2 linked regions of the Pelodiscus sinensis genome follow. The protein of the gene in region 1 interacts with the protein of each later gene in a pairwise test. Links are inferred from orthologs where the notes say so. Each region holds a gene or a part of one and is shown on either strand. Other genes may lie near its edges.

Evidence for each region.
Region 2: the proteins of KXD1 (region 1) and EXOC7 interact in binary tests that used the Homo sapiens proteins (3 or more experiments, as listed by UniProt). The two-hybrid records come from large-scale screens. The link is inferred for Pelodiscus sinensis from reciprocal best matches to the Homo sapiens genes KXD1 and EXOC7.

The regions. Positions count from the first base shown.
Region 1 is NC_134729.1:19,764,052-19,771,055, reverse strand, and holds the start of KXD1 (kxDL motif-containing protein 1), read left to right. Parts: upstream 1-4,004; 5' UTR 4,005-4,373; coding exon 4,374-4,385; intron 4,386-6,801; exon of another isoform or gene 6,802-6,967; intron 6,968-7,004.
Region 2 is NC_134730.1:10,782,376-10,789,528, forward strand, and holds the start of EXOC7 (exocyst complex component 7), read left to right. Parts: upstream 1-4,143; 5' UTR 4,144-4,272; coding exon 4,273-4,332; intron 4,333-5,935; coding exon 5,936-6,001; intron 6,002-7,153. UniProt on the Homo sapiens protein: Component of the exocyst complex involved in the docking of exocytic vesicles with fusion sites on the plasma membrane.

The DNA of each region.
Region 1 (7,004 bases):
GCATCCATGTAGGCACCCGTAGGAGCTGTGACCCAGCTAACAAGCCCAAGCAGAAGCACCAGTATCATCCCCTCCAGCAGTTGCCCTTTTCAGACCCTGCCTCCCAGCAGGCGCCACCCACAGAAAAAAGGCTTCAGGCCATCAACACCTGCCTTAACAGGAGCTTGCCAGTAAAAAGGTGAGGGCAAGATGGGACCTGGAACGCTTCAGCTGCCCCCAAACCCAGGGAGTAGTAAGTGATGCCCCCCCACTCTCAACAGGTGCCATAGAGGAACTGCCCCTTTAGAACCATCCCCCTCCTCACAGTCTTTCCAGCGGAGGCCACAGCGCCTTACATAACTCATGAGTGCTCCCCCCCCACTTTTCCCACCCTGGAGCTATGGTTCTGTGGTGCACTCAGCCCCAGACGGCTGGGGAAAGAACCAGTCTGCTGTACCCAGTGCAACAGGCATCCCTGCCTTTCACCGGTGCCGCATTACCCACCCCTCACACCCATATCGCAACAGGGCCGTCCCTTGACCCGGGCTAGCCAAGGAGACAGAAGCTCTCTGGCAGGCCCACCGCCTCCACACTCATTTCAATTTGGCACTGCCAGGCAGGGACCGACCACAGCCTGACACCTCTGGGCCACAGGCTCGTGGCTCCCAGCCGGAGGCAGGGAAGCAGCGAGAGAAGGGGCCAGTACACTGTGGGGCACATGAACCCACAGAGCCCAGCCCCAGCAGTGGGAGGGCCCCGCTCCCCCCTAGACCTTGGCTGACTGCGAGCTGGGTCCAGCACGACAAGCCCCGCACAGCCCACTAAGGGGGTGTGTGTCACAAGCCGAGTCCAGTTTCCCCACAAATGGTCCCCAGCCAGTGCTCACCTAGCCACCCCCCAGCCTTGGCACCCCCCTCACCGGAAGCCTCTCACCCCCACCTCCCCCCTTCCCCAGCCCCCCTCCCCAGGCCCCTCTCACTCCCCTACCCCCCTTCCCCAGCCCCCATCCTCCCCGGGCCCCTCTCACCCCTGCCCCCCCTCCCCAGGCTCCTCTCACCCCCCGGCCCCTCTCACCCCCCCCAGCCCCCCTCCTCCCCGGGCCCCTCTCACCCTCCTGCCCCCCCTCCCCGGGCCCCTCTCACCCCCCAGCCCCTCCTCCCCCTGCCCCCCCACCCCCCCAGCCCCCCTCCTCCCCGGGCCCCTCTCGCCCCCCCAGCCCCCCTCCTCCCCGGGCCCCTCTCACCCCCCCTGCCCCTCTCACCCCCCCAACCCCCCTCCTCCCCGGGCCCCTCTCACCCTCCTGCCCCCCCTCCCCGGGCCCCTCTCACCCCCCTGCCCCTCCTCCCCCGGGCCCCTCTCACCCCCCCAGCCCCCCTCCTCCCCGGGCCCCTCTCACCCTCCTGCCCCCCCTCCCCGGGCCCCTCTCACCCCCCCAGCCCCCCCTCCTCCCCGGGCCCCTCTCACCCCCCCTGCCCCTCCTCCCCCAGCCCCCCTCCTCCCCGGGCCCCTCTCACCCCCCCAGCCCCCCTCCTCCCTGGGCTCCTCTCACCCCCCCTGCCCCTCTCACCCCCCTGCCCCCCTCCTCCCCGGGCTCCTCTCACCCCCCTGCCCCTCTCACCCCCCCAGCCCCCCTTCCTCCCCGGGCCCCCCTCACCCCCCCAGCCCCCCTCCTCCCCGGGCCCCTCTCACCCCCCCAGCCCCCCTCCTCCCCGGGCCCCTCTCACCCCCCTGCCCCCCTCCTCCCCGGGCCCCTCTCACCCCCCTGCCCCTCTCACCCCCCCAGCCCCCCTTCCTCCCCGGGCCCCTCTCACCCCCTGCCCCCCTCCTCCCCGGGCCCCTCTCACCCCCCTGCCCCTCTCACCCCCCCAGCCCCCCCTCCTCCCCCTGCCCCTCTCACCCCCCCAGCCCCTCTCACCCCCCTCCTCCCCGGGCCCCTCTCACCCCTCCAGCCCCCTCTCACCCCACTGCCCCCCCTTCCCCAACCCCCGCCCCAGCGGCACCTGGCTGGCGCCCCCAGCAGCAGACCCCACGCCCGGGGCCTCTTCCGCGAGCAGCGCCCCCAGCACCCACCTGGCCTGTGGCCTCCGGGATCAGCTGCTGTAGCCCCGCCCCCAGCTCTCATTGGCTCCGCGGCGCGGGGAAGGCCGTCGCTACTGGCTGGCTGCAGCGCCCGTCCCGCCTGGATCGGCCTTTGCCCGGCGCCTTCTTAAAGGGGCCGCGGCGCGGGGCTGGGGGAGGGACCTGCATGGCCATAGAGAAGGACAGCCAGCGGGTCCCAGCATGCACCGCTGCATCCCTGCTCTCAGCATGCACCGCTGCACCCCAACTCTGGGACCTGGTAAGTCCCAGCATGCACCACTGCATCCCTGCTCTCAGCATGCACCGCTGCACCCCAACTCTGGGACCTGCTAAGTCCCAGCATGCACCGCTGCATCCCTGCTCTCAGCATGCACTGCTGCACCCCAACTCTGGGACCTGCTAAGTCCCAGCATGCACCACTGCATCCCTGCTCTCAGCATGCATCTCTGCACCCCAACTCTGGGACCTGCTAAGTCCCAGCATGCACCGCTGCATCCCTGCTCTCAGCATGCACCGCTGCACCCCAACTCTGGGACCTGCTAAGTCCCAGCATGCACCACTGCATCCCTGCTCTCAGCATGCATCTCTGCACCCCAACTCTGGGACCTGCTAAGTCCCAGCATGCACCACTGCATCCCTGCTCTCAGCATGCACCGCTGCACCCCAACTCTGGGACCTGCTAAGTCCCAGCATGCACCGCTGCATCCCTGCTCTCAGCATGCACCGCTGCACCCCAACTCTGGGACCTGCTAAGTCCCAGCATGCACCACTGCATCCCTGCTCTCAGCATGCACTGCTGCACCCCAACTCTGGGACCTGCTAAGTCCCAGCATGCACCACTGCATCCCTGCTCTCAGCATGCACCGCTGCACCCCAACTCTGGGGCATGCCTGGTCCCAGCATGCACTGGTGCATCTCAGCTCTGGGAAGCTCCCAACATTCACCACTACCCCCCGCCAGCCTTGGCAACGTGACAGGCTCCAGCATGTACAGAGCTCTGATCCAAGGTGGCAGCCACCCTACTGGGATGGCAGAGCCCATCAGTGCATGTGCCGCTTGACACGGCAGCCTGGACGCTGTATGTTTAACTGGATAACCAGCCCGTCCTATTGTATTATGAGTGGGGAGCTGCTCCAGCCAGGTGGGGCTGGAGTTCCCCCAACCCATGTTGCACTGTGGTGGGCCTGGCTTGACCACAGCAGTCCCCTGCCAGAAGCATAGCAAAGAGAAGGGGCCATTCTGACTGGGCTGGGGCGGGGGGCGAATAAACAATTACTCATTTACATCCCTATTTAATACTCATTTAACAAACAGAAGAGCAACACAGACATTTGAGATTTTAACAAAATAAGTATCAGAAGGGTAGCCGTGTTAGTCTGAATCTGCAAAAGCGGCAAGGAGTCCTGTGGCACCTTATAGACTAACCGAAGCGTGGGAGCATAAGGTTTCGTGGGCAAAGACCCACTTCGTCATCTGAAGTGGGTCTTTGCCCACGAAACCTTATGCTCCCACGCTTCGGTTAGTCTATAAGGTGCCACAGGACTCCTTGCCTCTTTAACAGAATAAGATCACTGCCCCACCAGGATGTGCTGATTAATTCTTCATTATTCATATCGCTTTCCTGCACACACACAGGTGCAACATTCAGTGTAAGTTTACTGATTTACCTCTAAGTTACATTTCAACCAGGAACTTGCAGTATTTTTTCTATAAGAAAGGAAATGCGAATTTTTCCTACAGCAAAAGTTCACCCATTTGTACAAGGTCACCAGATCATCACCTTGCGATGTTTTTTCCAGGTCACTGGACCACTGGTTAATATTTACTTATGCATCTATACATGGTAATGGTTCGTATGGATATTGTTTATATAAAAAGGCACCTCACTGAACATGGGCAGGACTTCACCTTGCTTTCTCTTCTCTATTATCTGTAGGAGTCATGCACATTTTTTAAATGACACCGTCCATATCAAAAATACGAGGAGACATTTTGAACCTATTAAAAAATCCATTCAAAAGGCCTTGCAAAACTACCTAGAGATCTTGTGATGGGGTGGTACCAACCCTGTACTGGGGCTGCGAGATTTAACCCAGTCTACCTGGCTGAAGAGACCCCACTCCAGCTCTGCTCCAGCTAGAGACCAGGTGTAAGGGCCTGTGGAGCAGCTCAGTCTGGATTGACAGCCCTCAAGGAAGGAGGTGCTGCTGGAGTCCCCAAGGAGGAACCACAGATGGAGCAAGACATGGAGGCCAGCCAGTGGGGAATGCAGGAAAAAGCCTCCAGTCTGGAGAGAAGAGCTGGGGAAGACTGCAATGGAGAGACTGGTAGGAAGTAGCCCATGGAGAGGAGTTTCAGTGGGATTTCTCGCCGAGCTAGTGGTGGACCACTCCACTGCTGACAAGACCCTGGGCTGGGATCTGGTGGAAAGGGTGGGCCTGGGTCTCCCCACCATCCTCAACAGCAGAGCTATACCCCACTGCTATTGACTCTAACGGCTAGGCCACACTGCACTGGGCATTGTTAGAGACGCTGGGCTGGATGTGGTTTGGTCCTGGATACGTCCCGGATGAGCTGCAGTTGTAAGAAGGGGAGGCATAGCACCCTCCTCCTTAAACTGGTATGCACGTGGGGTTGAGCACCATTTGAGGGGTCTCAGAGACATTATGCCCACCCCCTGAAGGGAGATGGGTGTGCTGCCCCGATGACAGATGTATAACTTTTTAAAACTGAAGTTCTTTTTATGATTGTCAGGCCAGTAGCAAAAGAGGATGAAGACTTCTTTCCTTCTTATGGTCTGCTGCAGGGGGGCACTTACTCCCCAAATCACCTATTAAACAGTCTTCTTCCCCTCCCCACCACCACCCCTGAGGTACCTCAGAATTTCACATTTGATTCCAGGCAGGACTCTGACCTTTCCAGCTTTCCCATTCTTTTGTGTGAAACGGATGAAAATGTCTATTACTTTTAGTTCTTGGATTTATAGTATTAAGGGAAAAGAGGGCTAAAGGAGGCCTTGTTTTTTAGAAAATCTGGAAGACAAGTGGAAAAAGGCAGCATTTCAGCTGGTCTGACTCTCTGTGCTGGCAACATGTCTGCTTGTCTGATTTATAAGCAACTTTGAGGATTATTGTAAACTGAGAAAAAAGTGAAGCAATCATTTTCTTGAAAAAGCCTCAACTCTAGTATTTTTCTTCTGAGAAATTACTCTCTGAGACCTGGGGAACTTTTGTCTTGGTGATTTGTGCTGGGAAAGAAGCTTGAAGTTGGACCAGCCTGTGCACTGGACCTTCTACAAAGTAGGAAAGAGCTGCTTTGATTTTAGTCCAGTCTACTAGGCTCATCCTGTACTCTAGTCAGCCAATCTGTCTTTGATTTAGCTATATACATGTATGTTCGACTCCCAGAGAACTTCATAAAGATTTTTCTGCCCATGTTGTTACCCCAGAGCCCTTTTGGTAACATTAATCCTCTTCCCCTACAGGCTTATCCCTGAAGAAATTTATTGCTAGGGGGATGGGAGTGCTTATATTATCCGTATAGCTAAGGGGTCACATGAATTTGAATGGTTACCCACTGGGCCACATGAAAGGGAGCTGTAGGGGCTCCTCTCAGAGTCCCGGAGGGGGAGCTCCCCTTGGAACACTGAGGGCGAGCTGTGAAGGGGCTCCCCTCATACAGACTCCAAGGGGGAGGGAGAACTGTAGGGGTCCCCTTGGAACACTAAGGGGAGCTGTGGAAGGGCTCCTCTATACACTCCCTGAGGGGGAAAGGGAGCAGTAGGAGTCCCCTTGGGTCACAGGGTGAAGGGGAGCTGTGTGGGTTCCCATTGGAGCACTGAGGAGGAACTATGGGGGGCTCCCTTCATACAGTGCTTGAGAGGGAGGGAAAGCTGTGGGGGTCCCCTTGCCCCTTGGAACACTAGGGGGAATTGTGGGGGGCTCCCCTCATACGGATCCTGAGGAGGAGCTGTGGGAGGAGCCCTTGAACACTAAGGGGAGCTGTGGGGGGCTCCCCTCATACAGCCCCTGAGGAGCAGGGGGAGCTGTGGGGGGCTCCTTGAACACTAGGGGGAGGTGTGGGGGGCTCCCCTCATACAGCCCCTGAGGAGCAGGGGGAGCTGTGGGGGGCTCCTTGAACACTAGGGGGAGGTGTGGGGGGCTCCCCCATACAGCCCCTGAGAGGAAGGAGGAGCTGTGGGGGGGCCCTTGAACACTAGGGGGAGCTGTGGGGGGCTCCCCATACAGCCCCTGAGGGGAAGGAGGAGCTGTGAGGGCCCCCTTGACCACTAGGGGGAGCTGTGGGGTCTCCCCCATACAGCCCCTGAGGGGAAGGAGGAGCTGTGGGAGGGGAGTGCCCTTGACCACTAGGGGGCGCTGTGGGGTCTCCCCCATACAGCCCCTGAGTGGGAGGAGCTGTGGGAGGGGAGTGCCCTTGACCACTAGGGGGCGCTGTGGGGTCTCCCCCCTACAGCCCCTGAGGGGAAGGAGGAGCTGTGGGAGGGGAGGGCCCTTGACCACTAGGGGGCGCTGTGGGGTCTCCCCCATACAGCCCCTGAGTGGGAGGAGCTGTGGGAGGGGAGTGCCCTTGACCACTAGGGGGCGCTGTGGGGTCTCCCCCCTACAGCCCCTGAGGGGAAGGAGGAGCTGTGGGAGGGGAGGGCCCTTGACCACTAGGGGGCGCTGTGGGGAGGGGAAGGGATTTCTAGCTGCACCTCACGCACACGTACGTCCTGACGCAAAGGTCACGCCGCGCGCGTGACCCCTCATCCCGGAAGCGAGCCACTAGCCCGAGGCCCCCCACGAGCCGCCGCTGCTCCTGCTCCGCCGCGGCCGGTCCCGCCCCCTCCTGGCCTGGGCGCCGCTTCCGTCATGTGAAGGCGGCGGCCCCGGGGCAGCGGCCCGTCCAGGTGCGCGGCCTCGGGCTGGGGAGTCGGGGGGGGGAGG
Region 2 (7,153 bases), on another chromosome or scaffold:
TGAGGGTTGGGGGGGGGGCTTTCCTTCTCACTTGTGGCCCAACTGATTTTTCTGTGAGTCAGTGGCCCCAGAAAAGGTCCAGAAAAGGTTCCCCAGCCCTACATTAATGGGAAGCCCCTGAGCCCTGGTCTTTAGCTACCCATTTTGTAACTGCAATGCCAAAGGCAAACTCACATATGATATCAATAATACTGGTTTGCACTTCAGTGGCACTCTCCAGCTACAGATTCTGAGAATTAGAGGATTAATGAATCTTTGTGACATGTCTGCAAGGGTGGTGGTATAATACCCATTTTTGCAATAAGGTAAACTGAAGAGCAAAGCAACAGGTTGAGTAAATAGAGCCAAAAGTGGATCAAGTGACTGCTCCCGATCAGTAGCCAAACTATAACAAGCAACCAGGAGCCCTAGCTCAGAGGCGGCAACCCCGACTAAAACTACTAGTCAACATTCCCCCTTCTTACACTCAGCTGGTATTTTAAAAGGGAAGTGTAGGCTCCCTTTACTAAAGGAGCCTCTAATTTTTACTGGGGGGATCCTTTGTGCTGCAGTCTAGCCCTAGAGACAACAACTCCTATGAGCCCTTGGGGAAAAGGAGGGAAAACTGTTGCTCTCTTGTAGGCAGTGCAGAAAGAGAGTTGGTGGGCTCCAATTTGGAAAGAGGAGCCAGACTGCTGCTGTGGAACCTTTTTCTAGTCCAGGAGCTGCTGCTCAAAGCTAGAGCCTGCTGCTGAAAGCCTGTTGGCTTGGATCTAGCAGGCCAGCAGTTCCTAGCCACTGGTGCAAGGACCAGTGCCTGTATATGGCCCCACCTTTCAACCAACCAGCAGGAGTGGGGGGGTCTCCTCCCAGACACAGAAGAGCAATTCGCTACGTGGCGGAAGAGCTGCACAGAGCCTTGCACAGCAGCCTTACAGCAGCTGTGACCTGGGCAGCAGCACTCAGCTTGTGGTTAAGAGGCACCTCAGGGCTAGGTGGGGGGAGGTGAGGCAGGCACTGAGGGCTCCCGGGGTGGGGCTAGTGCTGGGGGGCTCTAAAAAGTGGGAGGCTGGCACTGGGAGGGCTCTAGGGATGGGGCTAATATTGGGGACTGGCACTGGCGGAGGTCTGGGGGGATTGGGTGCAGTGGGGTTCTGGAAACAGGAAGTTGGCACTGGGGGGTCTGGTGGTGGTGGGCTCTAAGGGATGGGGCTGGCAATGAGGCTTTTGGGACGATGGATTGGCACTGCTGGGCTCTGAGGATAGGAGGCTGGCACTGGGTGCAGGGAACTCAGGTCAGTGGCTGGCACTGGGGGGTAGTGGAAGAGTTGGGATTCTAGGGGTTAGGGCTGGTGCTGGAAGTCTCAGGGGGCCAGGGTGTACCCCAATCCCAGCACCACTATGAACAGCTGGCTTCAGCTGCAACAGCCACCTGCCATGGGCTATGCCCATGGCTCTGAAAAGCCTGCATAGAAGGTACTTTTAGTAACTGTGGCTGTTTGGGAAAGTGCTGGGGAAGGGGAGTCGGAGTCCCAGGGTCTGGGAGGGAGTTGTGACCTGGGGGGGAGGGATGCATATGGTTTGGATGGTGACCTGGGGAAGGGAAATGGGGTGCAGGAGGGGCTGGGGTGCCAGAGGCAGGCTCTGGCCAGGAGGAGCTTACCTAAGCATCTCCCAGCCTGCAGCACCCCAAGACAGGCTGGGCTCCCTGACTGCGGCAGCCCCAAACCACTTAAAACTGCAAGAGGTTCCCTTCATGTGGGACTCAGGTCTGGGAGGGGGGAGAGGCTTATGCTGCCTCCATCCCCCAGGGCAATCTCTCAGCTCACATTGGATGTTTGGTTTTGGCCAATAAGCGCAGAGAGATTGGCTGGGGTGAGTTCCTATTGGTCGGTTGTTTCCAGCCAATAGGAGCTGAGTATTGGGCTGGAGGCAGGGTGATCACCTGAAGCCTCCACCTCCCCCAGGAGTAGAGGCGTAGAGAGCAGCCCTGCTCTTAAAACAGTTGCTGCTGTATGCTAGAGGGTCCTAGCAGGGTGTCCATGGGCTGGACTGGGCGGCTTAGCCGGATCTGGGCTGCAAGAGGTATCTTGCCCACCCCTGCTTTAGAAGCAAGAGACTGCCACAAGCGGGTGGATAGCAAGGAGATCCCTATCTACCCAGCATCACCATAGGGACACTCAGGATCTCCTTTAATGTTAAAAACATCTGGTGCTCAGACACACAGGCGAGAGAGTGGTCTGCTCCTGAGTACTCCAGTGAGGAAAGGGAGGGTTACAGAAGATTGCCTGATCCTAAAATGTCTTAATAGTTACATGGCTGTCTCCCTGAACATAATAGAATGTAAATTGTGTAACACCGTGGTTCTCAGACTTTTTGGTCTGTGTCCCACCCTGCTCAAAACAAACCTTTTGTGGACCACCAGCAACCACCCATGATGACCAAATGGGAGCAGGAGTGGACTGGGAAGATGGGGAGGAGGGTCTGGCAGGGAAGTCGGATGCAGGAGAGGGGTGGAGGTCTGGCTGGAATTCCAGGAAATGAGAGTAGAATCATAGAACCATAGAGCTAAAAGAGACCTGAGAAGGTCCCCTGCCCACGTAGTGGGGAAAGTCTCTGAGGCTATGTCTACACTGGTGGGTTATTGCGCAAGAACAGCCGTTCTTCAGGAAAGCATCCACTGCCCACCTGCTCTTGCACAAGAAGATTTACGGTACAGTGTGGTAAGAGAGGGCTTCTTGTGCAAGAGCTATGCTCTTTTTTAACAGGTGTAAGCCCTCTTGCACAGGAGCTCTTGCACAGAGGGCAGTGTGGACGCTCGGCAGGGATTTCTTGCGCAAGAAAGCCCTATGGCTAAAATGGTCATCAGAGGTTTCTTGCGCAAGACAACATCCACATTGCCATGGATGCTCTTGCGCAAAAGCACAGCTCACACATGGCGGTGTGGACATTTTCTTGCGCGAGAGTTCTTGCACAAGAACCCGCCAGTGTAGACATAGCCCATGTGAGCAGTTTCCTGCGCTGCAGTTTCCCCAGCCAAGTGAGAGGGGGAGTGGCAGCATATGGAACCACTTCCTCCCCCTATGAGCTAGATCTGACCCACAAGGCTTAGGGCTCTCCCATCCTGCAGCGGGAAGCCAACCTTGCAGGGAGAAAGGGCTATACAAGGCTGGAGTGCCAGTGAGGACTCTCTGCTTGCAACTAGAGGGAGGGGAGAGAGAGAGGGCAAGCCCACAGCCCACCTGCAAAGGCAATCACAGACCACACTTTGAGAACCACTGGTGTAACAGATGAGGAAACAATCTGTTAAAAATGGGCAATGGTTTTTGGGATCCATGGAAGACCTTTTGAGACTGATTGATTGCTCTCCTAATATACAGTAAGGGTTTGGAAATGTGGAAGGAGGACACTGAGTTGACAAAAAACACATACTTGTATATTTCTCCCAAGAAATACCAGACATCTGGTATTTTTTGGTGGAACAAAAAAAAAAAAAAAAAAAAAAAAAAAGGGACGCGGTATTTTTTTTTTGTAAAGTAGGACAAGAAGGACAATTTTTTTCAAAGGAGGACAAAAGGAGGACATAATTATTGTGGAGGACAAGCCCCTCAAAAGGAGGACTATCCTTCTCAAAGGAAGACGTCTGGTCACTTTAGGGGAAGTGGGAATTAGGTTACCTGGCTGGGAAACCCTTGACAGCTAGAAACATAGTGTAAAGCAGAATATTTCCCCACCATGCCCCCCCCCATAAAATTAGCACATCACTGACTACACTGCACAAGGTATGTGCAAGTCAGCGATCCCCACAGCCAATCACTGTTGGCAGAGGGATGAGGCCCAGGGAGTGTAACAGCAAGTGTGCTGTATTTAACTCATGCCTGCAATTCCCTCCCCAGGCACTACCGATACACCTCCCCTGCCCCCCACCAATCCAGTAGTGAACATGACAAGAGCGCGCTCCAGTGGACACGCCCAATATGGCGGTCTATGAACATCGTTCCAAGGGCCTGCCACTCTTTATATGGCGCGCATTGGAGACGCGCAAGCGTACTTCTGCTCGCAAGCCGAGCCCTAAAGTCTTGGATCTGCGCATGAGTACTGGTTCCAAGATGGTGGTGTGTGGCGGGGCGCAGGCGCATAGCCATCTGCCGCGCTCAACATGGCGGCTCGGCGCTGACGGCGGCGGGCGTGAGGCGGAAGTGGGGAGACTGACTGACAGTGGCGGGCACGGCCGGGCTGTGGGTGTTTGGCAGGCCGGTGCCCCTTGGCTGTGCCCAGCGGTTCCGCGGCAGGATGATCCCTCCGGATGAGGCCTCTGCCCGCAGGCGGGAGATAGAGGACAAGCTCAAGCAGGTAGCGGGGGGCGCTGCGCTGGGCCCGGGGAGACCCCGACACCCCCACATCGTTGCCTGCTCCACCCCCGCCCCCAGGACAGCGCCGCCCCTGTACAGCCCCTTAAAAGACTCCCTCCCTCACAGCTCCAGCATCCCCCCCCGGACAGCTCACCCCACTGCTGCTCCCCCACCTGCCCTAGGGAGACCCTCCCTGCTACCCACCCACACTGTAGGGCCCTCACTCCCTAGGCAGGGACACTGCCTCTAGTGAGAGGCCTTTCCCTGCAGTGCAGTCTGGGATCCGCCTTCCCTAAACCGCTCCATTTCCCCTGGAATTGGCCCCCAGAACGTTCCCACGATTTGGGGCTCAGGGGAGCCTCCTTGGAACCAGATTCCTGCCTGGACAGCTCCACTCCTCTGGAACTGAGCCTGCTAGGCAGACCTCCCTGGAACTGAGACCTCCTTGCTCCCCCTGAACCAGACCGTACAGCTCTGCTCCTGTGACATGCCCCCTCCAGAGAAAGACCCCCTGAGTCCTCCCCCATGCCCTTTCCCCAACTGGGGCCTAACCTGTAGATGACATCTACAGAATGACTCCAGCACTCCATAGGCTCCTGGAATTCTTCCCTTGCAAAGAGAAGACCATTTCTTGAGAGCTTTTGCATAATTTCCCATAATTTCTCCACCCCATAATATCATCCATATCCCATCATTTTAAAAATAGAACATTTACTTCTGAAATAAATCAAACACAAGAGAAAAAGAACATTCATGTCCATTTTGGTATACACACAGCAACCATGGGTCTCACAAGTCAGTATTTGTGAAGCTGTGGTTTTTCTTACTGACCTCTGGTGTGGAATGGCACAGGTAGGGATATGGCCCCTGAAGTCACATGGAATGATCAGATCTGGGGATAGGAATGTTAACATGTAACCTTAATTGGTGTTGCTTACTGGGTAATAGTTAATCGATACCCAGGGAGCAGCCCCCTGGCCCAACTCAATGCTGCTCTAGCACCACCGGGATCCCATGCAGGGCTGGAAGCTGCCAGGCTGGAGCAACTCTTGACTACGGCAGGGGCGCTACTTCAGCCCAGCCGGAAAGTGGCATTTATTACTTTGTCATAATAGGGCACTTACATCGGTGGAAGACAAGTTTGAGTGTAGTCAGATACACAGCTAGGTCAATGAAAGGTGACTCGCATTGTCCTAAATTTGTAGTGTAGTCCAGAGGCAAGACAGATTTAAATTGAATTGAGAGTGTTTGCTACACTGGGTTAATTGATTTTAAACAAATTAAACCTTTAGTTAAACTGGTGCTACTTTGTATGTAGATTATTAGTTGATTCTCACCTGCTAACATTGTTTTGTTGTGTTTAAATTCATAACACTAGAGAACAGTGTTTAAATCCAGATGCCTCTGTATTGAAATTTAAAAACAGGTATATCATTTTAATGTTTCTGTTCTAATTAAAAGTGTACGTGTTTTTAAACTCCTTCTCAATTATTTGATATTTCCTTTAATAGAACTTAGAAATGCAGTTTTCTTTCAATCTTGTGTAAAGTTTGAAATTCACCTGTCATATAAAACTGATAAATTCTTCTTTATTCCAATGTCAGGAAGAAGAAACACTGTCCTTTATAAGAGAGAGCCTTGAAAAAAGTGATCAGCTCACAAAAAACATGGTAAGCAGGGTCCCGTAAACTAAGTTTAAAAAGGTAGGATATGGTTTGCTTGGTCTCTGATTCTGGTGCTTTCTCTCCTGAGAGTTTCTTTGAAAGCTCTGATTTGCCAACTTGGGAAACTTATGAGTTCACTGGGTACTGTTTTTAGATTAGAATCTTGAGGATAGGTTATAAAGTGTGTTGGGGTGCAAGTTTGCCAGGACTGGAAACTTGAGTTCAAATGATCCTTCAATCTGGTTTAATTTATGTGCATTTATAGCATTGCTCATCTCAGTATTTCAGTACCTCCTGAGTATATGACAGTAGAAATAAATCCACTCCAGCCAGGGGGTAAAATAGCTAATATTAATTGTTCTGTGTGTCAGGGCACAGGGGTGAAGAGCTTTGGGAAAGCCAAGTAGAAGAGTAATTTCTGAATACAATTTACTTGGTGATCTTTCTGAACTCATCTGGTAGTGAATTCAGTAACCTGGATCTGAAGGATCTATTGTTGGTTGACAGTTTTGTATTGCCTGTGTATTGCCATGATCCACCACATCCGAACAGAAGCATAGAATTGGATTTGGTATTAATTAGGGAGTCCATTCCCAAGGAGAAGTGTGGCATTGATGTGCTCATGGGCACTTGTGTTGTGTAACAGGTGGGCTGCTGGATGCTCTGCCTAATGGATTCCCTCACCCCACCTCACCACTTCTTATTCTTACTTTTGAGTTTTAGTAACTGAGTCTCAGTCACTGTAGCTGGATCTGAATCTGACTGGATGGAATTGTGTACTTTTTGTTATTGTTGCAAGGAGACTAAAGTGACCTCTAGCATTGCAAATCTCTGCCCAGGAGCTGAGAGAGCATGTGGAACTCAGACAAGACAGAGATGATCTTGCTGGAGAGAAGGAAGGGCTTGGACGAACTTTGTTCCTCCATATCATCCATTTTCTGCTGAGGCCACTTACCCTCTTAATTAAGTTAGTTGCAAACTTGGAGTTCCTTGACAACCAAATTAGGGATGTGAATGGATGATCAGTTAACCGGTAAGCATCACCCTTACTGGGTGATACTTATCAGACATTGTTAAATGGCAGGGGCTGGAGCAGCCCCTGTCCATGGCAGGAGGGAGGCGGCGATCCAGCCAATCTGCAAACACCAGCCTTTGTTT